Mus musculus: one gene and its partners. The protein of the gene in region 3 purifies or fractionates together with the protein of the main gene of each other region. This does not show direct contact. Links are inferred from orthologs where the notes say so. Each region holds a gene or a part of one and is shown on either strand. Other genes may lie near its edges.

The links.
Region 1: the proteins of Hdac1 (region 3) and Zfp516 purify together in Homo sapiens (co-immunoprecipitation; 5 studies listed by BioGRID and IntAct, counting the BioPlex papers as one, with this or other methods). This does not show direct contact. The link is inferred for Mus musculus from reciprocal best matches to the Homo sapiens genes HDAC1 and ZNF516.
Region 2: the proteins of Hdac1 (region 3) and Brms1 purify together in Homo sapiens (affinity purification with mass spectrometry; 7 studies listed by BioGRID and IntAct, counting the BioPlex papers as one, with this or other methods). This does not show direct contact. The link is inferred for Mus musculus from reciprocal best matches to the Homo sapiens genes HDAC1 and BRMS1.
Region 4: the proteins of Hdac1 (region 3) and 4921524J17Rik purify together in Homo sapiens (co-immunoprecipitation; 4 studies listed by BioGRID and IntAct, counting the BioPlex papers as one, with this or other methods). This does not show direct contact. The link is inferred for Mus musculus from reciprocal best matches to the Homo sapiens genes HDAC1 and C16orf87.
Region 5: the proteins of Hdac1 (region 3) and Nfkb1 purify together in Homo sapiens (affinity purification with western blotting; 3 studies listed by BioGRID and IntAct, with this or other methods). This does not show direct contact. The link is inferred for Mus musculus from reciprocal best matches to the Homo sapiens genes HDAC1 and NFKB1.
Region 6: the proteins of Hdac1 (region 3) and Smarca2 purify together in Homo sapiens (affinity purification with western blotting; 4 studies listed by BioGRID and IntAct, with this or other methods). This does not show direct contact. The link is inferred for Mus musculus from reciprocal best matches to the Homo sapiens genes HDAC1 and SMARCA2.
Region 7: the proteins of Hdac1 (region 3) and Kpna4 purify together in Homo sapiens (affinity purification with mass spectrometry; 3 studies listed by BioGRID and IntAct, with this or other methods). This does not show direct contact. The link is inferred for Mus musculus from reciprocal best matches to the Homo sapiens genes HDAC1 and KPNA4.

The regions. Positions count from the first base shown.
Region 1 is NC_000084.6:82,955,869-82,959,619, forward strand, and holds part of Zfp516 (zinc finger protein 516), read left to right. Parts: coding exon 1-1,581; intron 1,582-3,751. UniProt on the Homo sapiens protein: Transcriptional regulator that binds to the promoter and activates the transcription of genes promoting brown adipose tissue (BAT) differentiation.
Region 2 is NC_000085.6:5,040,124-5,044,391, forward strand, and holds the start of Brms1 (breast cancer metastasis-suppressor 1 homolog), read left to right. Parts: upstream 1-1,239; 5' UTR 1,240-1,367; exon of another isoform or gene 1,368-1,488; intron 1,489-4,268. Other genes in the region: B4gat1 (beta-1,4-glucuronyltransferase 1), read left to right, coding at 184-375. UniProt on the Homo sapiens protein: Transcriptional repressor. Down-regulates transcription activation by NF-kappa-B by promoting the deacetylation of RELA at 'Lys-310'. Promotes HDAC1 binding to promoter regions.
Region 3 is NC_000070.6:129,539,732-129,543,920, forward strand, and holds the start of Hdac1 (histone deacetylase 1), read right to left. Parts: upstream 2,916-4,189; 5' UTR 2,899-2,915; coding exon 2,850-2,898; intron 1-2,849. UniProt on the Homo sapiens protein: Histone deacetylase that catalyzes the deacetylation of lysine residues on the N-terminal part of the core histones (H2A, H2B, H3 and H4).
Region 4 is NC_000074.6:85,408,593-85,412,343, forward strand, and holds the end of 4921524J17Rik (UPF0547 protein C16orf87 homolog), read right to left. Parts: intron 3,704-3,751; coding exon 3,521-3,703; intron 1,299-3,520; coding exon 1,180-1,298; 3' UTR 167-1,179; downstream 1-166.
Region 5 is NC_000069.6:135,614,982-135,618,732, forward strand, and holds part of Nfkb1 (nuclear factor NF-kappa-B p105 subunit), read right to left. Parts: intron 450-3,751; coding exon 291-449; intron 1-290.
Region 6 is NC_000085.6:26,603,762-26,607,963, reverse strand, and holds the start of Smarca2 (probable global transcription activator SNF2L2), read right to left. Parts: upstream 2,805-4,202; 5' UTR 2,731-2,804; intron 2,716-2,730; exon of another isoform or gene 1,915-2,715; intron 1,814-1,914; exon of another isoform or gene 1,454-1,813; intron 1,391-1,453; exon of another isoform or gene 909-1,390; intron 823-908; exon of another isoform or gene 421-822; intron 1-420. UniProt on the Homo sapiens protein: ATPase involved in transcriptional activation and repression of select genes by chromatin remodeling (alteration of DNA-nucleosome topology).
Region 7 is NC_000069.6:69,088,869-69,092,619, forward strand, and holds part of Kpna4 (importin subunit alpha-3), read right to left. Parts: intron 1,210-3,751; coding exon 1,040-1,209; intron 953-1,039; coding exon 908-952; intron 1-907. UniProt on the Homo sapiens protein: Functions in nuclear protein import as an adapter protein for nuclear receptor KPNB1. Binds specifically and directly to substrates containing either a simple or bipartite NLS motif.

The DNA of each region.
Region 1 (3,751 bases), on a different chromosome or scaffold from region 3:
GTCCCTACTGTGATCACAGGGCTTCCCAGAAGGGCAACCTCAAGATTCATATCCGCAGCCACCGGACAGGAACTCTGATTCAGGGGCACGAGCCAGAGGCGGGAGAGGCTCAGCTGGGTGAGATGCGTGTCTCTGAGGGCCTGGATGGGTGTGCCAGCCCTACTAAGAGCACCTCTGCCTGTAACCGCGTGCTGAACGGGGCCGTGCCGATGGACGGCAGCAAGATTCTGCTCAGGAGCAGCCGCAAGGAGGTGGAGGGTGCGGCCAGCGCCCAGGAAGACACTGAGGCCACGGTGCCGTGCTCCTTCTGTAAGAGCCGGTTCGAGCGCAAGAAGGACCTGGAGCTGCATGTGCACCAGGCCCACAAGCCGTTCAAGTGCAGGCTGTGCAGCTATGTCACCCTGCGGGAGGAGTCTCTGCTCAGCCACATAGAGAGGGACCACATCACCGCACAGGTGCCCAATGGCAGCGAGGCCTGTGTGGAGAACGGCAAACCTGAGCTGAGCCCTGGGGAGTTTCCCTGCGAGGTGTGTGGCCAGGCCTTCAGCCAGACCTGGTTCCTGAAGGCACACATGAAGAAACACCGGGGCTCCTTTGACCACGGCTGCCACATCTGCGGCCGGAGATTCAAAGAGCCTTGGTTCCTCAAGAACCATATGAAGGCGCATGGACCCAAGGCAGGAAGCAAGAACAGACCCAAGAGTGAGCTGGATCCCATTGCCACCATCAACAATGTGGTGCAGGAGGAAGTCATTGTCGCTGGCCTGTCCCTCTATGAGGTCTGCACAAAGTGCGGGAACCTGTTTACAAACCTGGACAGCTTGAACGCCCATAACGCCATACACCGTAAAGTTGAAGCCAGCCGGATTCGAGCCCCGGCTGAGGAGGGGGACTCAGAGGACCCCCTGGACACTAAGCAGTTCTTCTTACAGTGCCTGAATCTGACACCATATGTGGCTGGTGATGTGTCCCCCGGTGGGCAGGCTGGACGGCGGGTGGCTGAATTGGACCCCGTCAACAGCTATCAGGCCTGGCAGCTAGCTACCAGGGGTAAGGTGGCTGAGCCGGCCGAGTACCTCAAGTACGGGACCTGGGACGAGGCGCTGGCAGGGGATGTAGCCTTTGACAAAGACAAGCGTGAGTATATACTGGTGAGCCAGGAAAAACGCAAGCGTGAACAGGATGCTCCGGCTACCCAAGCTCCCCCGAGGAAGAGGGCCAGTGTACCTGGGGACCCCATGCTTTCTGGCCACCTTGATCCCCGGCCAACCTCACGCCCCAACCGCAGGGCCTCGGCCACCACTGGCCAGGGCAAGTCCTCTGAGTGCTTCGAGTGCGGCAAGATCTTCCGCACCTACCACCAGATGGTGCTCCACTCCCGCGTGCACCGCCGTGCACGCCGTGACAGGGATCCTGAAGGGGACAGAGCAGCGCGTGCCCGTTGCGGTTCACTCAGCGAGGGTGACTCGGCTTCCCAGCCAAGCAGCCCTGGCTCAGCCTGCGCCATTGCTGACTCCCCTGGCCTGGCTGAGGAAGTGGTGGATGACAGTGGTGAAGAGGCTGTGCCTGAACCCGCATCAGGTGAGCAGGCGTACCTGGGCGGATGAGGTTCAAGTACCCCGTGTAGCCCTTTGCCCGGCTGGCCCTGTACTCAAGCAGTCTTGGTGGAGGGACTGTGTCCGCAGGTGCTCCTATGTTTTGGTGACCTTGTGCCCTGTTTCTGGCTCTGGCTTTGAGGCTGTGCACTGGGTATCCTGCACCTTCTGGGTTCTGGAGGCTCTGCTGGTCTGACTGATGCTGTCAGTTCCTCCTCTCTCTCTTTTCTGCTACTCACATACAGATGCTGAGTTAATTAATTAATTAATGAATTAATGAACACTTTTGGCTTCTTAAGTCTAGGGTCTCATCTGGGTGTCTGTATTCTATAAGTAAGGAGTAAGTTCCTCTGAAATGTCCTTTTGTTCTCTATGTGTGACACAAATATACACACACGTGTGCATGCTTAGAATACACACAAACGATACCACATATAAACACCAAAACACTAAAACCATACACATACTTGCACATGTACAGTCACACATTCACATACACAGACATGCACATACACATGCACACATGTGCACATCACATACACATATGACAAACATGTTTGTGGAAATGGACCATAGATAGTATGGTGGTTTGAAAGAATGGCCCCATAGGCTCATGTGTTTGAAATCATCAGCTGTGGCAGTGTTTGAAAGGATTAGAAGGATTAAAAGGTATAAACTATTGGAGTGGGTGTGGCCTTGTTGGAGGGAGCATGTCACGGGACCCCGGCACTCTTTCCTTTCTGCTCTCCTGCCTGGGGATCAGGATGTGGCGCTCGCAGCTCCAGGGCCTTCCTGCATGTCACCAAGCTCCCCACCGTGATGGTAATGGGTGAAATCTCTGACACTGTAAGCAAGCTTCAGTTAAATGCTTTCTTCTATAAGAGTTGCTGTGGTCACGGGGCCTCTCCACGGCAACAGAACAGCGACTGGGACAGATACTGCAAACACACATACACAAACACACGTGCACATACACAAATATGCAATGGGTACATGCACATATGTACACATCACATATTCAGACATACCATACACCCCAAAATACACACTTACTCTGCACAACCACATATGCGTACACGCACAAACATACATAAGCATGAATATGCACACATCACACAGGCATATAAATACTACACATAGACACCCCAGACACATGCATATATAAAAAATATGCATATACACAAACATGGATGTGATCACACATGCAAGGAAGCCTAAATGGACACCAAAAATAAACATGTATACTTGCTTACACACAGATAAGTACACACACATATGAATACATAAACGTGTACATATTGCAACACATGCATAAATACACACATGTAGAGGTTATAAACATAGAACACTTACTGATATACAATCATACCTGCCCACATATTTAGCATGTACTGAATACATGTCACGTGCTTGTTCTTGCACACACATACACAGGTGTACACACATTCACACACACACACACACAAAATACATGCTAATGCACACACGCATTCCTCTCCACTCTCACTGCCAGACATCTGGATGAAGGCTAACTTAGAATCTCTGTGTAGTTATAACTAATCTCTTCAGATTCAGATAACCCTTCGGGCTGAGAGACTGTTAGTTGGAGCAGATTTCTTTCCAAACAGCAGCCATGAGAATGTTTCCAGAACCCTGGCTTGGCGTTTCATGGTTTCCCCATTTTAAAAATAATAAACCTTGAGCATTGCCTTTGTTATTTTGCCATGGGCAGTTGCCGCGAGGAAAGGCAGTGCTGAGGTGTGAACCGTGGCTGCACGTGGCCAGCATGCTTCCTTGTCTAGCAGCTGTTGGGGGCTGTTGCTTTTACTTGAGGTGGGGTGCTTACAGGCAGAGGAGCCCACTGCAGAGCTCTTGTGTCTGCAGCAAGGAAGAGGAAACAGGTGCCGCCTTTCCTTGCTAGGGGCCCAAGTGAGTCTGACATTAGATTTGCATAGTGTGCTACCTGGTCTCTGCTGCACTTAGGTGCACAGAGGCACCAAAACTGGGCACACAAGGCATTCCCCCAGCCCTTTGGGAATTCCGAATGGAGTCTTAGCACCCTCAGGGACCAGTGAATCAGAACCACGTGCTGCCTGTCAACTTATCTCTCCTGTCACTCATCTTAGGTGGGTGGGGAGCAGGTGCTGGGCCAGGGG
Region 2 (4,268 bases), on a different chromosome or scaffold from region 3:
AGAAAGTGGTTGGATGATGGAGAATTGAGGACAGTGGAGTGGAACTTTAGGGATGATCATGTGGGCCCTGGGGATATCATTAAGTTATTGTGATTAAATCACTGTGACCTCTCCCTGTCTCTCTCCCTCTCTTCCCTCTCCCCTCCTCTATCTCTCCCTCCCCCCCCCCCGCCCCTTTTCCAGGCTTGTGAGCTGCACGTGGCAGGGTTTAATTTTGAGGTGCTGAACGAAGGTTTTCTGGTTCATAAGGGATTCAAGGAGGCATTGAAGTTCCATCCCCAAAAGGAGGCTGAAAACCAGCGCAATAAGATCCTTTACCGCCAGTTCAAACAGGAGTTGAAGGCTAGGTACCCCAACTCTCCCCACCGATGCTGAGTCCTTGTCTTCCATGGTCTGAGAATTGTCAGTATCTGGCTCCAGGCCTGACTGGGGTAAGAAACATGCCTCCACTTTACAGAGGTAGCTATGGGTTTGGAACACTGGACTTGACTATGGGGTGCTGGGAGTCAAGTCTCAGCTTTACCACTAACTAGCTGTGTGGCCTTGAGCAAATACTATTACTTCTCTGAGCCTCCGTTACGCCGTCTGTAAAAAGGGAGGTGAAAATACCTACCTCACAGAACTGTTGGCTCAGATGAGACGCTGTATGTGTAAACATCCTGTAAACTTCGTACAAATGTGAAGTATTATTAATATTGCTACAGTGTTATTATGATATTGTTACTATTAACCATGTTGGGTGGATAGCGGCAGAGCAAAAAGTTTGAATGGGCTAGAGGTGGGAAGCTTGAGTGTTTAATAAAATGAGGCTTTTGGAAAGAAAGATGAAAACGTAGAATGTAGTGCTAAGAACGTTTCCCGTTCTCTCATGCCTTCGCCCTCCGCCCTCCGAGATCCCTGAAGGAGGAAAGAGATAAAGGTTAAAGTCCCAGATCTGTGCCCTCCAGTAGGTTGGGCTGCTCATTTGCCTTCGGATGACATTATGTAAATAAACGAATGTCACACCCACAGCTGGCTCTGTTACTCTCCTAAGCCGAGGGGTGGTGGGCCGGAGCACCGTGTTAGACGGCGGTGGACCCAAGGACACCGACCACAATGCTAGGACAGGCTGAAGGCCTGGGTTACTGGGGGCCAGTTGCTATGGAGACCCGTCCGCCGTATCCCGGCATGCCTGGACACCAGTGGTTCCATTGTAAGCGCCACAAATGGGCGCCTCCTGATGACGCACACGGAAGCGTCGACACCTCCTGGAGAAAGAGAATCCTGCGCAGCACTGTTCCGGAGATCAACGGCGGCGGCGTTCACACCCTGGGTCGGACAGCTCTCCGGGAGTCCTGGACGTGAGGCCGGAGGCCCCAGTGTCTGCGGTGCGTATGGCCACGCCCGGCGCTGGGTTGGGCTTTCCGGATCGGAGCTAAAGCAGAGACTTAACCGGCCCGACTCGCGCGCTGGCCTGAGAGGAGCCCGCGGTTCCGAGGGTGGATCGAGGTGGGATAGTTCCTTGCGCCGCAGAGTTTGTCCTCTGTGTCTGTAGGGAGGGGTCTGCTTTCCCTGGAGGTTTGCTGTGGAGGTGCTTATACACCGCGCGTTTACCGTGTGCCTCTTCCACTCCCTACAACCCTCAGCAATGGTATATCCCCTATTTGTACCCGGGTTAAGGAGGGACGATTGGTTGTGACTTCATTTAACGAAGTCAGGATCAGAGTCAGCTGGAGGAAGGAGATCCTTGAATTCATCCTGCGTCTTAGAAAGAGTATATACAACGGTGAAAAGGAATTGCCAGTGTGGAGGGTCTGAGGCGTGAAAAGGGGAACAGTGAGGCTGTTTTGGAGATCTGGATTTTCAGAGCAGGAGGAAATGCTACTAAACTCTCCTGCAGGTCCGGCGCTATAATTACTTGCATGGGTGTGAAGGAGCGTTACTCCAAGTAGGGTTGCCAAGAAGGAAAAGCCAGTTTCTATACTGCAAAAGTTTATGTTGTTTAATTTGGGTTTAGAAATTCCCAGTCATCAAGTGAGCTGGCACTGCACTGGGCGAGTAGGACAGCCTGCTGCCCTGTCCTGATGAAACACCCACATTTCACTGGGTGGTCGGACATGAGACTGGGAGAATATGAGATAAAAAACAAAGAAACCTTTAATCCCAGCACTAGGGAGGCAGAGGCAGGCAGATTTCTGAGTTCGAGGCCAGCCTGGTCTACAGAGTGAGTTCCAGGACAGCCAGGGCTACACAGAGAAACCCTGTCTCGAAAAAAACAAAACAAAAAAAAACTTCCTGGGGGAAGGAGTTATGCCTTCCCCATGGGAAAGACTTACAGAGCAGCAACCAGAGATGTAGAAATCACACCAGTGTGAACTAGAAGCATCTACATCCAAGATGACCTATTCTCTCTGGGGGCCTGGCAGTATCAATCTCTCGTTGTCTCCTTCCTTCTGAAAATACCTTCCACCCTAACTCTTGGATTTTCAATCTGTTCTGCAGAGGTTTCTCCTCCTGCCTCCTTTGTTGACCTTGGGAATTCCAACAGAGGCCCCTTCTCACAGTTCCGCCTGAAAAGTCAGACTGCACAAAGCCTAAATAACTTGCCGTATGTAGCTAGAGGAGCCTGGGTCTAGTGGAAGTTCACATGCCTGTGTCCCTGGTCCCTTTTCTCACTTCTAGGTCTTTGTACTTGTTTTTCACTCTGCCTGGAATGTTCCATCTCAGGCGGCCTGGTCCTCACCTAGTCTGTCTCCCTCTGGAAGCTGTCACTGTAGCAGCAAGCTCCAGCTCCTGTGTAGACACCTCCCATAACACCTTAATTTGACTCTCTTCACACCATTATAAAGGTCTGCTTCTTTGCGTTTCTCCCAGAAATTTGTCATTTCCTCGAGGCCAAAGGCTGTCATAGCTATACTGTAGCATCTGCCACAGTCCACGGTGACTGTTGGTGCCTGGCACACTTTAGGTGCTTAGTAAATACTGGATAAGTAGGAAGAAAGGTAGGGGAGGGGCTTAGTGTTCACTGTTTCTGAAAGGTTACCTAAGGCAAGCACTGGCAAATGTTGGTGTTTGCTACAAGGAAATTGATTCGTAATTCTGCCGCAGTGGTTTTAGTGTGAGTGCTGGGTATCCAAACACTGAAAGAGGAGGAGGTGAAAGTCAGAATAGCAAGTGTGCGCAAGGCCCAGAGAACTACAGAAAATTAACTAAACGGGGCTGTTTCATATTTCTGCATTCATTCTTTTACCTACTCATTTGGATTTGACACAGCCTCACCAGCTATTGCTAGCCTGAAACTAACTGTATATCAGGCTGGGCTTGAATTTGTAGTAATCCCCCTGCCTCCTGAATGCTAAGATAACAGGCCTGTACCACCTCACTTGGCTTTATTTTTTTATTTGTGTTTGTTTTTTCCAGAGAGATCTAGTCTAGGTGCCTCTTCAGACAGCAATCTACCACTGACCTGTACCCCCAGACATACTGCTTTTGTGTCTTTTTAAGACAGAGCTTCGCTGTCTAACCCAGAATGGCCTCCTGCGTCAGCGTGTGGATTATGTATATGAACCTCATCAGGCTCTCTCTGCTTTTTAGTTTTTTTTTTCTCTCCAGTACTGGGAATTGAGACCTAGAATTGAATTCTAGAAACACCTCGAACTCAGAAATCCGCCTGCCTCTGCCTGTGCTGGGATTAAAGGCGTGCGCCACCACGCCCGGCCTTCTTTTCCTTTTTTTAAAAGATTTGTTTATTTTATGTAAATGAGAACACTGTAGCTGTCTTCAGACACACCAGAAGAGGGCATTGGATCCCATTACAGATGGTTGTGAGCTACCATGTGATTGCTGGGAATTGAACTCAGGGCCTCCGGAAGAGCAGTCAGTGTCCTCTTACCTGCTGAGCCGCCTCTCCAGCCCCTCCTGTTTTTCCTCAGGAAAACCCTGAGCTTCCGCATCTGAACTTCCACAGAGGAAGGTGCTTCCTGTTCACGTCCTTAGGAGTGCTAGGGGCTTAGGATATTGCTCAGTGGTAGTTGGGGCTCAGCATTTATGGGAATCTGAGTTCAATCCTTAGTCCTTCACCAAAACAAAATAAAAACCTGAGTCAGGGCCATTTATGAAGAAGGGGATTTATCTGAGTGGAGAGAGGCAAGGCTGTAATCCTGTTGCAGCTTGGACAACTTAGTGAGACCAAGTCTCAAAAAAGGCTGTGAGCATCGCTAAATGCTGGCTTTCCCAGCATGCTTAAGAATCTGAGTTTACTCGGGAGGCAGAGGCAGGCAAATTTCTGA
Region 3 (4,189 bases):
GCTGGAGGCCAGCCTGGTCTACAGAGTGAGTTCCAGGACAGCCAGGGCTACACAGAGAAACCCTGTCTCAAAAAACCAATCAATCAAAAAATTGCAAGCTAAAGTATCCTCTTCTCTCCAATCTAGCTTCCGCCCCAATCCCTCCCAGCACTTCCCCATTAGTGCAGGCTTTAGTCCCAGCAGGAAAACTAGGTGGCAGATCTCCTTGAGTTCACAGCTGCCTCGTCTAATAGACCAGTTCTAGGACAGTCTTTTGTGTGTGTGAAGTTTTGCCTGCATGTATGTCCAAGCACCACATTCCCATCTAGCACTTGAAGCGCGAAGAGGTCACTGGATTCCTTCCAACTGGAGTTACAAGTGGCTGTGGGGGGCCCTGGGAATTGAGCGCAGCATCTCAGTAGGAAATGCTCTAAACTGGTGTGTGTGTGTGGTATGGATGTACCCGTGAGTGCAGGGCGGTGTGGAAGCCAGAAGAGGGCGCTGGGTCCCTGTAGCTGGAGTCACAGGCATCTGTGAGCCTCCCAAGGTGGATGCTAGGAACTGAGCTTTGTCCTCTGCAAGGGCTGTACACACTACCAACTACTGAGCCATCTCTCAGGGCCCTGCTTTCTCCAGTTAACAAAGCAAGGAAAACCTCTGCAAGGAAGTATTAGGGCTGGCCTTTAATCCCAGCACCTGAGAGGCAGAGAAAGGAGGATCTCTGTGAGTCCAAGAACAATCTAGTGGTCTACAGCACCAGTTTCAGGACAGCCAGGGCTATACAGAGAAATCCTGTCTTGAAGAAAAAAAGAGAGAAAAGGAGGGGAAATTATGTAATTCTATTATAATCTCAAAAAAAATTATGGGGCTGGAGAGATGGCTCACCAGTTGGGAGCACATACTGATCTTCCAGAGGTCCTGGGTTCGTTTCCCAGCAACCACATGGTGGCTCACAACCATCTGTAATGAGATCTGGTGTGTCTAAAGACATCTACAGTGTGCTCACATACATAAAATAAATAATTCTTTAAAAAAATTATGCCTATTATACTACCCAATCTTTTAGGAAGTGGAGATAAGGAGACTTTTCTCCAAGAAATGTATTATCTACAAAAAACAAGAAGAAGAAAAAAAATTCCCAGCACTTGGTGGCCAGAGGCAGACGGATTTCTAAGTTTGAGGCCAGCCTGGTCTAGAGAGTAAGTTCCAGGACAGCCAGGGCTACGCAGAGAAACTGTCTCAAAAAACCAAAACCAAACCAAACCAAACCAAACAAACAAAAAGAACCGAAACAAAAAATGAGGCTGCTAGACAGTGGTGCACCCCTTTAATACTCAGGAGGCAGAGGCAGGGGGATCTCTCTGAGTTCAGAGGCCAGCCTAGTTGGTCTACAAAGCAACTTCCAGGACAGCTAGGGCTGTTAGAGACAGACCCTGCCTTAAAAACAAAACAGAACAGAAACAAGAAGACACCAGGCTTGGTGGCTCCGTCACCCCACAGCACTGGGAAAGACTGAAACAGGAATGTGGCTAACAGTTGAAAGACAGCATAGTGAAAGAGCAATCAGGACCACTGAACCTTCTTAGTCCACTTCTTCAGAATTAAAACAGGCCAGGGTTGTGGCACATGCCTTTAATCCTAGCACTCGGGAGGGGGGTAGGATAAATCTCTTCCAGTAGGAAGCAAACCTGGTCTACAAAGTGAGTTCCAGGCTAGCCAGGGTTACACAGAGGCCATTTCCAAAAAAAAAAAAAAAGTATCAACATAGCTCTTCACCCTCTACAACTGGAGTTATAACACCCTTTTCTAATCCAGCTAAAATTACTATCTGAATTATTTTATACCGACAATTACCAAAAAATATCTGTCTTCTAAATTTCAGATCTAAACAGCCAACCGCCTACTGGCTGGCTGGCTAGATGTCCCCTGAACAACTCAACTGCTATTCCCAAAACACAAATGCTGGACCAAGTGGTGTAAGCCTGGAGTCAAGAGTAAGAAGAAGGGGCTTAATCCAAGACCAGCTGAGTTACACTGTGAGACCCTTTCTCAGATAAAGGTGCTGTCCCCTCCCCCTGCTGTTGGCTCCACTTGCCAGGGCCTGGCTTGTAACTCCAGTTCTTGGGTCCTAAGCACTGACACACAACCTGCTCCTCTCAGGTTGGGCTGAGGCTCCTGCTGTGTTCTCCTCCACCCCACATTCCCTTGTCCCAGCGCTAACACCGAAAGATACCTGTGACATTGTCTAGCTCCCCCTTCAGACGGGAACTCAACACAGGAAATGTGCCTCGATGAGCCCTCCAGCCCCAACAGAAACACAACCCAGGACAGAGTAAGATGCTCGCGCTGGCTCAATGAAAAGTCGTTTTAACAAGTTTCATGCACCTCTCTTCTTGCATCCCCGGGGAGCCCCATTTCCCAACTAGCAACTGCAGGCCCTACTCATAGACTTGGGGGATGGAGTGGGGGAGGGGATGAGTGGCCAGTCCTGCAGAACTCACCAAAAGAAAGAAAGAAAAAGAGAGAGAGTGAATGGGGACAGTGAAAAACCTTTGTATTCTCAGCAGGGGAAGATATCCAGGCAAACCGTCTCCATCATATTCCGATCCCCGCCGCCACTTAGGCTTCCCTCCAGGAATCCCACTCCAACTTCAGGTCGGATTCCCCGAGAATCTCCGCCACCGGGATTACCGCAGACTACCCCTTCCACGACCCCCACCTCATCTCCGGCCTCAGCCTCGACTTCCTCTCTCCAACCTCCTCCTTCAGCCTCGACTTTCCCTCAGCCTCCCCGGGGCTTCAGCCTCCTCCCAGCCTCCTCCCCCAGCCTTTCCCCAACGCCCGGCCCGCGCCGCCCACCCGCAGCTCACCGTCGTAGTAGTAACAGACTTTCCTCTTGGTGCCCTGAGTCTGCGCCATCTTGCTCGCCGCCCGGCCCTCCCGTCAGTCTGTCCGCCCGCCCGCCCGCGGCTCCTTACGGCGTCCGACCAGGGGGAGGGGCCGGCCTCGAAGCCCCGCCCACCCCCGGGATCACCTATAGCCGCACAGCCCGGGCCTCACTCTAACCAATCGGCATGCGCGGGGTCGGGCCCGGAACTCGGCGGGGGGCAAGGGCAGCTTAGAGAAGCCACCGCGGGCCCCCTGGGCCTGTACCAAAGTCCGGCGCGGAGGGGTGGGGGAGACCGGGGGCCGTACCATCGAGTCCCGGGAGAGGGAGTCGGCTCCGTAAACTCTGCAGCCCGCTTCACAGTTGGGAGCGTGTGCAAAGATCAGAGGCCAACTTTCTCGTTTTACCGAGAATACGCCGAGGCTTCCCGGGGAAAGATGCTTGCGCAAGGTCACGCAGCTAAAAGACTAGGTTTGGTCTGGATTAGAACTGGAGAGAGAAATGAATGGCAAGGAACAGAAAGAAAATATCCAGAGGCCTACTGTAGTGGGGCAAGACCTTTATGTGCTCATAAGTTCTGACGGACTTTTCTTTTTTAATGTCAAAGCTCGTTTTCAGTTGGGCGTGGTTGCTATGTCTTTGATCCCAGCACTCAGGAGGCAGAGTCAGGAAGATCTCTGTAATCTGAGGCCAACTTGCTCTCCGTAGTGAAAGCATGTCTCAAAAAATAACAAAACAATTTTACAGGTAAAGCTGAAGAGCTTATTCAGTGTTACAAATTAAATTCCGTCTCCAATTGTACATATTTTTTTTAAAAAAAGACAAAATCCAATATGCCCGAGCACTGTGACAAAGTAACAGAACTTGGTGTTTAGTTTTTAATTTACTGGAGGGAGTGTTGGAGGGAGTGTTCCTATGTAATGGCTCTGGGTGGGGGCGGGGCGATCCATCCAGAAAATTTGGGTCAGGCATGGTGGCAGCAACCATCTCACCTACCCAGAACTTAATTTTTCTAAACTGAAAGCCTAAGTTGTTGTTTGGGGGGGACGTGGGGGTGGGGGGGCGGGGTTGTTTCTTCGTTTGTTTTTGCTTTTTTGTTTGTTTGTTTGTTTTTCAAGATAGGGTTTCTCTGTATAGCCCTGGCTGTCCTGGAACTCACTTTGTAGACCAGGCTGGGCTCGAACTCAGACATCTGCCTGCCTCTGCCTCCGGAGTGCTGTGATTAAAGGCATGCCCCACCACACCTGCCTTTTTTTTTTTTAAAGATTTATTTATTTATTTATTTATTTATTAAGTACACTGTAGCTGCCTTCAGACACACAC
Region 4 (3,751 bases), on a different chromosome or scaffold from region 3:
GCAGCAGCAGTAAAGTAACTACCATGTAACTCATACATATGTACTTTTTGCTTTGTTTTTGTTTTAGGAGTCAGGGTTTCTTTGTGCAGCCCTGGCTGTTCTGGGATTAAAGGAGAGTTGCTAACACATGTGAAGAGGGTTAATCACCACACTGGTATGCCAAAGGGCGAGTATAAGGAATGATGATTTAATACTGCAAAAACTGGCTGAAACACTTTACAAACTTCACTAGGACAAAAAGCTACACCACACTACTTAATCTACTCGCTTTCAATATTAAGGTTTATTTTTTTCCAGGATGAAGTAACAATTTAAATAATTACCAGAATTATGTATAAATGAACATTCAGACAAAAAAAAATCACTGTTCACAAGTAGCTAAGAAATATTTTGCAATTTATATAATAAATATATCTGTGTTTAGGTTAACAGGCACCATCTTGATAACAGAAAAGTTTTTTTTAAAAACCAATAAATAAAACATTCAAGAAAACAAGGTGTTTATATCTGAAATATGATACAGCCTCAAATGCTTTTCTTCATATAGCACCCAAATTTCCAAACTGTCTAGAAAGTTTCTGAAAATATAACTCCTACTTAAATCATTAAAATAGCGCCCAAGAAAAAGGTCAATTAAAGACAGAATTTATAATCTATATTCGTAATTCTCCATTCAATAAAATATCAATTACCAATTTATTAAAAGTCAATGGATTGTATATATGCAATCTGTTAATGGTGAAAGCCTGAAATACATACATTTAAAAGTCACTCTCCTGACAGGACTTAAGACACTGCATCTCTGGTGCGAACCTGAAAACTAGCAAGCACGTCAGCTGCTCCAGCTGTGTGTTCCACCCGTACTCCTGTCCCTCCAATCGGGAAAGACCCATCCAGGTTCCGGGGCTTTTCTGGTCATTTTGTTTGTTTGTCTTTGTAAATACATTTAGTAATATCCCAACACAAAACACTGATAATGATCCTTGGTAAACAAGGAAATCCCAGCAAAGTCTAACGCACAGCTTTGCTCCCAAAGCGTGGCAGCAGACTAGGAAACAGAGAAAGCAACCAAAGGCCCTCATTCACACAGTCTGGTGCTCCTCAGAGTCCACGACTGCCTGAGGATCTGCTGATGCAATCCTGAAGAAAGTGGCAACCAACAGAGTTTGAAGACAAATATCAGAGAATAAGTCTTTGATTGATAATTTTTCTATTTATTTCTGCCAAGGCAACTGAAAACACGAAAGCCTTCTCATCAGAGAGGTTAGCATAGATGTCGATTTCCTTTTCCTGTTTTTCTGTGGAAAGAAAAGGGGAAAAGTTAAATACCAAGGTACCATTTTTTTTAAAAGTGGAAAAAAAAATAGGATTGTACCATAACATTTCCCGAAATTCATATCAAAAGAAAAAAATTAATAATTTGGCTTCTAGGGATGTAGTTCTGTGGAATAGTTGCCTAGCATGCGTAAGGTTCATGTTCCCGAACCAAGAACTGGGGGAACAATGGCTTTCTTAGGAGACAGCGGTCGTCTGCCTTGGTCTCCCAGTGCTGGGATCAGTGGCACATAGCACTACTGTCAGCAAAAAAATATTCTTACACAGAAAATATCTGAAAAATACTCACTGACAATAAATGCTTCCCTTTTCAAGTAAGAATAAAATTCCAGCGCTGCGAACGTAAAATGCATCTATGCCCAGCAATAGCCTTTCCTTCCCCAGCTGCCAGCAGACATTTCTTTAATCTCAATTCAAAAGCACCCCCTCCCATCATTTTCCAGCCTTTATTTCAACTGAAAACCAAGTTCTATTTTCTGACTAAGTAGAACTTTTTGTTTCTTCTCTGTGGACTTTTCTTGCCAGGTTTCTGTTCCAAAACAGTCTTTCAAATAAGATTTTCTGATGACCTCATTGTTAAATAAGTGTATTTAAATTAAGTAAATGACTGGAAGAGTATAACAGGAAGAAAAAAAGTAAGATTACACAAAGAGTTGAGAATCACCTATGGGAAGCCTTTCACTCAGGTACAAACTTTACTTCTGTATTTACACAGTATCAAAACACCTTTCATTTTGGTAAAAGCTAAAGACAATATATGTCCGAGAAACCATGAGTAATTCTGTGTCTCAAATCATGCTGGGATTAAAGGTGTGTGCGCCACCACGCCCAGCTAACATTTATATTTTTATACTAAATTTTTGTATACCTAAAATTAAGTACTTAAAGCAATGCAAAATGTAACCAACAACAGTTATAAATATATTTCATTGAAAATGAAATTGTGTTGGCTGAGGGTTCTAAATAAATACAAAGAACAGCTATAATTACTAGTTTCAAATCTGTATCAATCTGTATACGTTATCGAGGCTGTGACGTCATTCTTCCTACTCTTTTTTTATGTGGCATTTTTCCATGATAAAACTTTTTAAAGATGTATCCATCACAGAAAGAGAGAAGCTGTTAAGTCTAGAACTAAGTGATGAGTGGAAACTGCTTCTCAGAAGAGAGACCTGGAAGGAGAGACAGAGTGATCAAGAACACACTAACCATGCAAAGCTAGCTGGGGAGGAAGCACTAGAACCCCCAAAGAGCAATTAAAAACTGCACACCAACATCACTTTAAAAAATATATAAAAACAGATTTCAAATCCATAGAACAGTTAGTTAAACTAACTGCTTAGACCTGCTTTAAAACAATCAAAAAACAAAAACAAAGTACAATAATTTTTACTGGTATCTGAAAGATGACTTAAATATACAATTATCAGCCCGGCGGTGGTGGCGCACACCTTTAATCCCAGCCCTTGGGAGGCACAGGCAGGCAGATTTCTGAGTTCGGGGCCAGCCTGGTCTACAAAGTGAATTCCAGGACAGTCAGGACTACACAGAGAAAGCCTGTCTCGAAAAACAAAAAAAAACAAAAACAAAAAAACAAAAAAAAAAAAACAAAAAAAACAAAAAAACAAAAAAAAAATCTTTGAACCTTTTACCACTAATTTATAACAATATGGAATTTTACCTAATGTAACCCTTTAGGTTTCCAATAAGAATCTGTGTTTTGTTTTGATTTTTAAAACTAAGAATGTATGGGCTGCGAGTGTGGGGTCAGAAGTAGACCTGTGTACTGCGCTCAAAACTCAGCACTGCAACAAAAAAAAAAGAAAAAAAAATTTTAAAGACTACTTTAATTCTTTTTTTTTAAAAAAAAAAAGATTTATTTTTATGAGAACACTGTAGCTTTCTTCAGACACACCAGAAGAAGGCATCGGATCCCATTACAAATGGTTGTGAGCCACCATGTGGTTGCTGAGAATTGAACTCAGGACCTCTGGAAGAGCAGTCAGTGCTCTTAACCACTGAGCCATCTCTCCAGTCCAAGAAAATGTTTTTAAATCAAAAATGAATCGTGATTTTTCTTTTTTTTCCGTTCAAGAGCTCAAAGCTTCCATTATACTCACTACTATTACCTACTCATTACCTTTTATCAGTTTGATATTTGAAAGGGTGCTGGGATTAACCATACCTCTCTCTTCCTCGTGTTTTTTGGCGGATGAACTTTTAGGTCGTCCTCTCCCTCGTCTGATATGATCTGAATGGCTGTTACTTCGAGATCTCTTTCTGTTTTCTAAATCTTTATTTACTGTAGAATTTATCTTCTCTCGCCTAACTCTCTCTGTTCGCCTCCTCTTGGCCTCGTGCTTGTTTTCTGTATGGATAAATAAAAGTGATTTATTTTAGGGCTTCGCAACAACAA
Region 5 (3,751 bases), on a different chromosome or scaffold from region 3:
ATCTATCCTTACAGTCATGTGTTCATAGTAAGAAACTGGTGTTACATGTAAGGAATATAATGCACTCTCTGAGGAAGACGTGTTACCTTGGCAGACATGTTCTTAAGACGCTTAACTGGATATTGACCCTTTACCCTAGACTGCAGTATTAACTTTGTAGACAATAAACTAGAGGCTCTATGTGACTAGGTCCCAGTCTGCAGGCCTCAGCTCTGGGGAGTAAGTGACATAGTGGCCCTGCCCTCCATGCAGCTAGATGAAACTGTCCCATCTTGGGAACGAGTACTCACTGCTATCATAGATGGCGTCTGACACCACAGGCTCCAGTCTCCGAGTGAAGCTGCCAGTGCTGTCAGGGAGGAAGGCTGTGAACATGAGGCGCACCACGCTCAGGTCCATCTCCTTGGTCTGCTGCACGGCTGCCTGGCGGATGATCTCCTTCTCTCTGTCTAGGGTCACAGAGAACAGTCTGCTCATGCCCAGGCAGGTCAGAGTGTGAACATTTGACAGCAAATGGCCTCAAAGACCAATTCTTTTCCTCTAGAAACACTTCCTTAAAGTCTTTCTTGGCATATACTCAGTGCTCATCGGGATAACTCCCTGAAAACATTTTCATCCTAGAACAAGCACTGTGACCGTACCTAAGGCCCCTTCTCCCCTCCTCATATCCACTCGTCCCCTCCCTACCAACGGAGTACCTTCCTCTTACTTTCATATCCTATGCACGCATATGCAAAATATCTTATGTACATCTATATAAAACCTAGGATCTAGAACCGAGAGAGACGGTAGGTGATGTTCATCTTCTTTGTTCTGGCTTATTTCTCTTGATACAGAGATCTCCAGTTGCATACACTGCCCTGCAAATGTTTCTTTTCTTTTTCTTCCCTTCTTTTTTAAAAATAAAGATTTATTTTTATTTTATGTATGTGAGTAGACTATAGCTGTCTTCAGACACAAGAGAAGAGGGTATCGAGTTCCATGACAGATGGTTGTGAGCCACCATGTGGTTGCTGGGATTTGAACTCAGGACCTCTGGAAGAGCAGTCAGTGCTCTTAACTGCTGAGGCATCTCTCCAGCCCTTCTTTCTTTTTTCTTTTTTTTTTTTAATGGCTGAAAAAAAACTCCATTACTCATGTATATCATGCTTTCTTAATCCATCATCTGCTAATGGAGAGCTACGGTGGTTGTTTGATGTAGCTCTTGAATATGGCTGAAATAAACACATATGTGCAGGGAAATATGTATGTTATAGTACGTGGAGTTAGAGTTTTGTAAATATCCGCAGGAGTGGATAGCTGTGTCTATGCAGTTTTACTTCATGTTATTCTAAATCTCCATTTTGATTTTCTTATTTACATTCTTGCATTTGTTGGTCATAACACACGTGTGTTTAGGGTAGAGGACCACCTGAGGGGAGGGGTTCTCTCCTTCTACCATGTGGGTCCTGGAGACTGAATTCAGGGCAGCAGGCTTTGTATGGGTTACCTGCTAAGACATCTGCTACACACATCTGGGGACGACCTTGAACTCATCTGGGAGTGCAGCCGTTTGTAGGGAGTGCTGGGAATCAAACCCAGGACTTCTTACACAAGAGGTAAGTACTGTACCACCTGAGCTACTTGGCAGGCTCCTGGACTTGTTTTCTTAATGACTTCTGACCAGGGTGAGGTGGGACCTCAGAGGAACTTTAAAGACTAAGGGTGTGAAGCATGCTTTCACATTTGTTGGCTGTTTGCACTCATTGTTGGAGAACCCTCTCTTTCTTCTGAGCGCATTTATTTACTGGGTTGTTTGTTTCCAGAATTTAATTTTTTTTGAGTTTTTATAGAACCTAGATACTAATCTGTCAGCTACATAGCTAGCAACAATTCTTTCCCCCACTGAAGGCTGTCGTCTCTTCAACTCAGGAAACTGTTTCCTCTGCTGTGACGCCTTTGAATCTCAGTTGCTAGTTCTCCATTTTATTTCCTGAGTTGCTGGAGCCCTTTTCGGAAAGGGCTTGCCTACATCACGAAGCGTTTTCTGCATGTTTTCCTTTAGCTGTTTCAGACCATTACCTTTTCCATTAAGATCTCTGCTCCGTGTTGAATTGGTTGGTAGGGTAGGAGCCTGGGATCTGGTTCCCTTCCTTATATGTGCTAGCCGGTTCCCCACCGGCATCACTTCTTCTCCAGCCCGTCTTTTCTCTAATGCACATTTTGGCATCTTTCTCGGGTATCAGGTGGCTACATTGTGTTCCTTTCTGACTCTCCTCTTCTGCTGATTTACACGTCTGTTTTGACCCCACTTCCATGCTTTTTTTGTTACCATGGCTCTGTAGTGTGACCTGGAATCAGCAGCTATGATACCTCTGATATCAGCAGCTGTGATACCTCTGAAATATTCTTACTATCCTATAGCTTTGGCTACCTGAGACCTTTTGTCGTCCCAAGTGAACTTTATTTTCTAGGAGGAACGGTATTGGCATTGTGGATTGCATTCAATCTACAGACCACACTTGGCCATATTTTTGTGGTAGTAACTCTGTTAACTCCCAGGAACATGGGAGGCCTTTCCATCATTGATTGACATCTCTTTCTTCTTCCGTGTCTTAACATGTTCACTGTAAAGGACTTTTCACATGGTTAGTTTATTGCCAGGAGTTTTATTTGCTCATGTTGAAGCTATCGGGGATGCCTGTGACTGTGCTCGGCCGTCGCGTTTGCTGACTTCTTTCTCGACACACTCACTATCGATATAGGAAAACCACGGGGTCTGTGTGGTGATGACGCAGGCTGATCCTCAATCAGAGCTAAGCCTCTCCAGTGCAGCCCTGGGCTCTTGTGTGTGGGACAATATTGTCTGTGGATAGGGCTCTTTCATCTCTTCCTTTCCCGTTTGTATATTTTTCATTTCATTCTATTATTTTATTGGGAATGTATGAATCGGCTTATCCTTTCCTTCCTTTTCTCTTTTCTTTTCTTTTCTTTTCTTTTCTTTTCTTTTCTCTTCTTTTCTTTTCTTTTCTTCTTTTACCTGGTTTGGGTATAAAAGTAATGCTGGCTTTGGAAAATAAGTTTGTTGATATTCTTCCCCTTTCTACTTTATGGAACAGTTTAAGGAGGATTTACGTTATCTCTTCAAATATCTGACAGAATTCAGCCATGATTCCATTTAGGACCGGGTATTTTTCAGTTGGGAGATATTTTATTGCTTGTCTTAGGTCTGTGTAAGTTGTTTCTATCTTCTTAGTTTAACACTGGCAGGTCAGATGTACCTGTGAACTTACCCGTTTCTGTGAGATATTCTAATTTACTGTAATACATATTTTCAAAGCCCTAATGATTCTTTGGATTTGACCATTACCTCTGATAATGTTTCCCTGATTTTCACCTTTAATTTTAATAACTGAGTCTTCTTTTTTCTTTTGGTTACTTTGGCCTGAAATTCTTTAAACTGTTAGTAAAATTTTACACAATGGTCTTATTAAATTGCCTAAAAACCCATCAAAGGTAAGCTGCGTTTTCTCTGGAGTATTGTAAATATTGTCTTCTCCCATGCTCACCCATCTACTCTCCTACGCTTGCTAAGAGATAAGGCACACATAGAATGCGAGGAGTACAGGGAAATGCACGTCTCTGCACCGCCGGCTGCGCAGACATAGGTGAGAACAAGCATGCAGAGTCTTTGTGTGTGGGCTCCGCTTCTCCACGGTGCCCAGCACAGAAAGGAAAGACCGGGCTGCACTGATCCCCTTCCCTCTGATAG
Region 6 (4,202 bases), on a different chromosome or scaffold from region 3:
GAGGAATGATTCTGCACTACGCCCTCGCTCTCTCCCCTCCTACACCATCCTCCTTCGCTTTAAACACCCCCAAGGGCCCCCGCGAGAGAGTGGACCGCTTGGGGTGTTTATTTTCTTCGTGGAGTAAATCCTGCGAGAGTTGGAAGCACATTTAGGCCCGAAGTTTGAACGTGCAACAGCCGCAGGGCACAGCGACTCACTCTCTCCGGACCTGGAGCAGAAAGAACTGACCACGCCAGCCACCCGCGAGGCCTCCATCTCCCCCGCGCAGTGCCTCCCGCTGGAAAGTTTTCCCTGCAATCGATTGCCTGCCTGACTTTGCACGGAAGGCGAGCCAAAGATGGGAGGGGGGTCGGCAGAGAAAGACCTAGAAAGCTCAGCGGGCGGCGGCGGCGACAGCGGGAGGAGCCGGCTCCTTACCTGGGCGACGCTGAACGGCCAGGGCTCTCGAGCTGGCGCCGCCCGGGGCTGCGAGGGAGCGGTGTGCACAGCGCGGCTTAGGCCGGCGCCCGCGGCCCGGCCCCCGCCACCTCCTCTTCCTCCCTCGCGCGCGTCATGTCACGGCGATCAAACACGTCTGTGCGCTTCGCCGCGGTGACTTCCTGATTCTCCGCCGCTCGCGCGCGCCACGCACTCGCCCTCGCCGCCGCACGCACCGCCACCGCCTCCCGCCGCCAGACCCAGCCGGCTCTGCGTCCGGCTCCCGGGAGTGCTCCGGCTAGAGACGCAGCCCGCGCAGCTCGCCACTCACTGGTCCCTAGCGCACTGCACACTCACGCCAGCCCGCCGCCCCCTCCAGCCCCTCCATCCGACTTGCAGCACTGCCAAACTTTTTTTTTCCGGGTTGATTGGTGTCCAACTTCCCTCCGCCCCCATCCCCCAGGCAGCCCTACCAGCCCGGCGCTCACCACTATCCGCAGCGAATAGCAACCGGTATAAAAAAATAATAATGTAATCCAGGCCGCAGGGGTGAATGCAGACACCCGCACCCGGCGATCTCCTGCAGGTACCGGAAACCAGCGTGAGCGCCCGGGCCGGAGCGCGGGTGTCCCCTAGAGTCCTCAGCGCTGCGCCCCGCCCGGAGCGGTGTCACTGCGTCCAGGCTGCGCGGCCTGGTGCGGGGCACCGGGGGGCACTGTGCTGGTGTGCGCTTGGTGGCTGGAGGGCGCCCAGGGGCTGGCGCGCTGGACCGGTGATTTGGGGAAGTACATCGCGACACCTATGCAGATGGCGTGGCCCTGTTTTGCAACGCCAATGGGAGGGGAGGCAGCCCAGCGATGGGGGAGGAGGAGGAGGCAAGGGAAGGGGTGAACTATGTTGGGATGGGAATAAAGCAAACTCGAAAGCAGGGAGCAAGAAGGAAGGGGTGAGTGTCATCGCTAGGAGGAGGCTCCCACCGGCTCTCCCCGCCTCCCTCCTTCGCCACCCCCTGTTTCCTCCCCACTGCAGCCCTTCCCCTTCCCGGGCGAACGCCGCGGCCGCTGCCCGGGTGCGTGCGGGTCCTGTTGTGACAGTCAGGCAGAGAGGATTATCCGGATCATGGCCTCCCCAGCCCTCAGCCGCCGTGGCTCTCCCGGGTCCCTGTGCGCCCCTGACACTCAGACCATCCCAGGCGCCCCGCGTCTGCAGCTTCCTCGGCGCTTGCCAAGGAAAGACACCAAGCAAAAGAAAACAAACCCAGAGAGGGGAGGGGAGGCTAACAGAGCCTAGTGGACACCTCGGACCTCTTTCCTTGGGGCTTCCTTCCACCCTCTGTAATGAGACCCGGGCTGGACACCCCGAACTTCAACATCCTAGCCCGCGCTGCCTCTAGGTACCAGACAAGAGGGTCCGCGGCGCCACGGCCATAGCCCCCGGGGCCAACCCTTTCACCTAAAGGCCTGTCACCAATCAACATTCCCTTCCCTGCCCTAGGGAACCCCGGGAGTGGAGGTGACACCTCGGAGCCCCAAGGCACCAACCCTGTGGTAGTGGCCGCCGCCCGCTCAGTGCGCCATCCCAGACTACTACCGCCAAGATCTGCTCTCGTCCCCGCAGCCGGAGCCCTTTAAACAAGTCCCCGGGAGGCGAATAGCAGCCGTGTTGGTTGGCGCCCTGCCGCCAGCCCGGGCTCCTCACCCTCCTTCCCTCCTTTCCTGTTCCCTTCCAACTCTAACGGGGAGGATGGCTCGGGGTGAACTGTCGCGTTTCCAGTCCCCCGCCTCCCAACCCCTCCGCCCCCCGGCCCGGAGTTCCCAAATCCCCCTCTCCTCTTGCCACTAGCCCTCCCCACCTCTGCTTTTTAGGGGATAGGAGGGGGGGGGGGATGCAACCTGGCGGAGAGTGTGTTGCAACCCTGAGTTGGCAGCGCATCACTGTCAACCTGCCCAGGGTCAAGGCTGTGACATGTTGGGATTTCTTCTCCTTGCCCCCTCGAAGTAGTAATTATTACTGTTATTATTAGAACGGCGAGGTTCGGTTGAAACTTTGTTTCTTTTATCGCCACCCGGGAGCTGTGGTTAGAGCATTCCACCTGAGGCCCGCGGGGAAGAGGCGGGCTTTTTTGTTGTTGTAGCGGTTGGCCCGCCTGTTTGTTTTGGTCTTCCAGCATGCACAATAAATAATGATTAGGATAAGGATGCATAATCCGGGGCGAAGGCGGCGCGGTGCCCAAGGGGTTCGGCGGCCGCTGCGGCTGCTGTAAGGCCGGAGCCGTGGAGAGAAGAGAAAGGAGTTGTAAGTTATATTTACCTTGCTCGCGAGCAGTGTGCTGGCTGAATCTTCCCTCTCTGAGTCACCCAGAGTACAGAAACAGAGGGAGCGAGGACTAGATTATGAATATGACTTCATTGATGACAGCCGTCCCCTCCTCTTCCTAAACTCGGGCTCCGCCCCGCGTCCCACCCTCGCCGCCTCCACGGGCGCCGGAAGACGCGCCGCAGTTGGCCCCGCGAGCCGCTCCTCCCTGCCCGGCCCGGCGCGGGTTGGTGGGACGCTCCTGTCACTCGCCCTGCTCAGCGACTCCGGGAGCGCGCGGGGGGAGCAGGGGGCGGTGTGCAAGAATGTGGATCTAGACAGCTCTACTGTATGCGTGGATCTGTGTGTGTCTGCGAGGCGCCGGCTCTCCGCCGTGTTTGTGCCTGGAGCAGAGAAACTGCGCAGGACAAGCAACCAGCCCGCAGCCCTGCTGGACTCGGGAGCCGCACATCCTTTAGCTGGCAGTAGCCTTCCGAGCTTCTCCGAGGAGACTGGGGGAACCCCCCGAAGCGAAGGGGAGGGCAGCCGTAGTAATCGAGCGTAGTAGTTCTGGGGAATGTGGAGACCGTGCTGGAATTTAAGTGTGCCTGCGCCTGCCAGCTCGAGCCTGCAGAGAGAAAGGGAGGGGACGGCGGGGGCAGGGCTCCGGGTGGCACCAAAGCTGTTTGTGGCAGTGTTGGCCGCGGGGGTGGGAGGGAATGGGCATTATCATACGAGCTGAAACTTTTTCGACCCCCGCCTCCTCCCCGTTTCTCTCAAGGCTGTCATAAATTTGCGTTCTTCCCACCCATCCCCAGCCCCCAGTGAAAAGGGAGGCGGCACAAAGAGCGAGCTTGCCAAATCTGTCTCATCCCTAAAGGACTGCAAGCTTCCAAATGCCAGAGAAGAGAAACAGCTGAGAGGCCGGCCGCCTAGTAAATAAATAAACCCAGATAAACCCTCCTAACCCCTCTGTTTACTTCGGAAAGGCACGAAGCACTTTCACCTCCCCTCACCTGTCGTCTTCGAATAAAATATACATAAAAATGTGGGAGGAGAGAACGACCCGCGAGGGTAGGGCGGGAGAGTCAGGGGGCAGCTGAACCATGGGATCTGCTTTTGATTTAAAAAGGGAAATAAATCTCAATCTCTACAGACCGAAGTCTCCTCTCTCTTCCACCCCACATTTAAGACCAATTAAGGCTACAAACTGCAATTTGCCTGCACGTAGTGGTTTGGAGAGCTAGTGTTTCAGTTTTCCTTGAAATACAGTATGTCTGCCGGACCCTAGGTCACTATTTGGTGAGGCGGTTTTATTTTTAGTTTTATGAAGTGTGAAAGAATGTTAGGAGATTTTAAATCAGAGGCCTATTATATTAGACTCAGATTAATGTAGGTGCTTGACTCTTAAAATTAAAACTGCTCCTATGTGGTCATGTTATGAAAAAGTATGATCTATTCCTTATTTTGCAATGTAATGGCGTAAA
Region 7 (3,751 bases), on a different chromosome or scaffold from region 3:
TAAATAAGCTGTTAACATATCCTGATTGAAATTCTTCAAATCCAATTAGAATTCTTACATATTTGTAACTACATATAACTACAATGTAATTTCTCCTTTTAAGTCTTTGAGGGCTGATTTAAGAGTGAATTTCTAACTAATATAACATATAGCAAATATTATTTAGTAAATGATATAGTATTTGTGGAAGATAGTCCTTAAAAGAAAAATTCAAACAAAAAAATATTCAAGACCTATTAAAAGTAAACATTGAAGCACAAGCTCATCTTGTGGCAGATAAACAAGAGTTAGGAAACAAGTGGAAAGAAAAACAAAGTTGTTGGATATTAGAATACTTTCCAATGTCTTGCAAATCTTTGAAAAAACAAAACACTAAAATTTGTATTTAATCAAAGAACTTTGCTATAACTGGAGAAATAAGACTGAAAAATGGAACTGAGGAACAATAGGTTTTCATAGTTTGACATACACATGTGCGCGCGCGCACACACACGCACGCACACGCACACGCACACGCACACACACACACACACACACACACACGCATGCACGCTCGAATTAGTATTTAAGCTAAATATTCACTTATGCTTCAAAATACAAAAACACAACCATGTGTATATATTCTCAAAAGCCAGATGGCAGCTGGAGTAAGCATAAATGTCAAGAACAATCAATCCTGATGAGAGGAGATGACTAACTGCATCTTTGTAACAGGTTTGACTCCTCACTGAAGCTACAGAAACAGAGGAAATGGAAACATAACAAATAAGTACCTTAACTCTTGAAATGGTAAAGTATGACAGAATACAATTACACACTGTTTTCAGTCCAATATCATAGTGGGAGTCCAGAAGATATACATACACACATACATACATTTATTAATATACGAGAAGAATTTACTCACATTTACATCTGTGTGATGAATTAATACACAAAGAGCTGGAAGAATCTGAGGAGAGAAATATGTACAACTTAAACATACTGATTAAAAGAAAAAACATAAAATGGTATCTAACTATTTTTTTCTTTTATTTACCTCCTGAATTGTCTCCATTGGTGGTGGTGGGTCTTTGTGGCGACATAAATTGACCATAACCCAGGTAACATTTCTTAAGAATGTTATAGGAATAGATGGACTTATGAATGAAAGCAGAGGTTTTACAACTCCAAGACTTATCACATAATCTCTACACTGAGGTCCATCACCTGTAGAAAGGATTAATTAAATAAGATAAATCAACACTAAGCTTTTTCAGAAAACATAAAGCACTGGGTACAATTATGCAGCTACTAACATTTTAATAAGATTTTTTTTAGTTTATATAAAAATACTAGGAATTTAACAAGTAGACATTATAGGTCTTTGAGCCAAGAGAACCAATGTAACAAATATGTGTCTTTATAAGCTGCTCACTTACAGGGTGTCACTAAGATGCAGAAGCCCAAGATTATTTCAAATACTTTGAGCAGACATGTTATCATTACCGCAATGCTTTGTTCAGTATAACAAGCTTTTACATTAATACAATATGTCTAAATAACTATTGAGAAAATTAATGCAGAATTTATACATCATGATTTAATAGGGTCTAGTGTGTTGGCACAAGTCTAATCACAATGTTTTGGAGGTAGAGTCAGTATGGAGATAAGTTTAGCTACACAGTGAGTTCAAAGTTAGCCCAGGATACATGAGACCCATTATCAGAAGCAAAACTAATCCACAGGGGAAAAAAAAAAACTTTCTTGCACTATAATATCTGGTGATGTATATAATTCTAACATGTAATTAGAGAATAAAAAAACAAAAACAAATATCATAATGGTTCTCTACTTTATTATAATAATTTACCATAATGTCTCTTTGATACAGTGGGGTCACAAAATCTTTAAGGAGGGGGATGTCACATATCAGATATCCTGCATATCAGATATTTACAATCCTTAACATTAGCAATATTACAGTTATGAAGTAGCAACAAAAATAACTTTATGATTGGGGTTTGAATATCTCTGGCCCAGGGAGTAGCAATATTAGGAGGTGTGGCCTTGCTGGAAGAAGTGTGTCACTGTGGGGTGGGCAAAGAGACTCTCCTTCTAACCATGTGGGAGCCAGTCTTCTTCTAGTGGCCTTGAGATGAAGATGTAGAACTCTCAGCTTCTTCTGTACCATGCCTGCCTAGATGCTACTATGTTCCTATCTTGATATTGGACTAAACCTCTGAACCTGTAAGCCAACCCCAATTAAAAGTTGTTCTAAGAGTTGTCTTGGTCATGGTGTCTGTTCACAGCAGAAAAACCCCTAACTAAGACAGTGGTCATCACAACATGACGGTGAGCATTAGGAAGGTTGGGAACTTTTAACAGCTTTATACAAAGCTTTGATGCTTGATACAAGAGGCACCCAGATATGCAACGTCACTTCTAAAAGCAGTGTCCTCTACACTAGTAAGTTCACAGAGTACGCTGCTCACAAAAATTAATAGGGGCAATAACAATGCTAACAACACTTACATGCAAATAACTGTGGAAACACATACCTATAACCTCTAAATTCAAAAGGCCGAGGAAGGAATAGGGCTCAGAGTTCAGTAAAACATGGGCTACAGTCAGTCAGGGAGACATAGCAAGACAAAACAAACAATACCCTCCATGTCAGAACAATGAAGACTGTGATGAGTGTTTAGGGCTGTTGAGATGGCTTGGTGAGTAAAGGTGCTTGCTAACACTCTGAGTTCAATACTCAGAACACACGTGGAAGTGTCTAGTCTTTACACATATGCTGTAATATACATGTAAACACACACATATACATATATACAAAGTAAGTGAAGTGTCTTAATTTTTAAAGAATGTCCAGAATCCTCCTTCATCAAAACAAACAAACAAACAAACAAAAAACAAAACAAAAAACAAACAAACAAAAAAACCACCAAAAAAGGGATTTCCAAGATTTCCAAGCCAGATTTCAGTATTGGTTTGGGGGTTGGGGGGTTGTTTTTGTTTTTTTGAGACAGGGTTTCTCTGTGTAGCTCTGGCTGTTCTGGAACTTGCTCTGTAAACCTAAAACTTTCAGAGATCCACCTGCCTCTGCCTCTGCCTCTGCCTCCTGAGTGCTGGAATTAAAGGAAGGAGTGCTGCAACCACCACTAGCTAGTTTTCTGTTTGTTTTCAGACAGCATCTTGCTATGTAGTACAGGTTAGTCTTGAACTCACAGCAATTCTCCTGCCTCAGCCTCCCTAGGTACTGGGATTAGTTCTTTGAATTTTAAAGTCTGAGTTAATACAGCCTCCAGTAAACAGACTTGGCGGTATATAGTCTTGCAATCCCACACTTGGGGTGGGGATTCTCCAGCTGAGGTAAGACGACCATGAGTTTCAGGCAGCCAGATTACCACAAGCAAACAAAAATGCCTCTAGTCTAAAAAAATGCTCAAAATACTGAGATTGTGTCAATTATTTTTCCTACAGTTATTTATAAGGGCAAAGGTCATGATAATGTTCAATAATGAATTAGGCTATTAGATACTTACTGTTAATTCACAATAGAAATATACATTATATACTAAATTTTAATCTCTTATACAAGGTTTTTAGACTGCTCAAGTATGCTATAAAAAGAAAAATTATTTTAATTTTTGCCTACTGTTATTCATAGATGGGGAAAGTTAGTAATAATGTATATATTTTATAACCCTTTAAATAACTAAGAGCTGACTACCAACAAGAAGCTACCATGGCAATGTAAGCA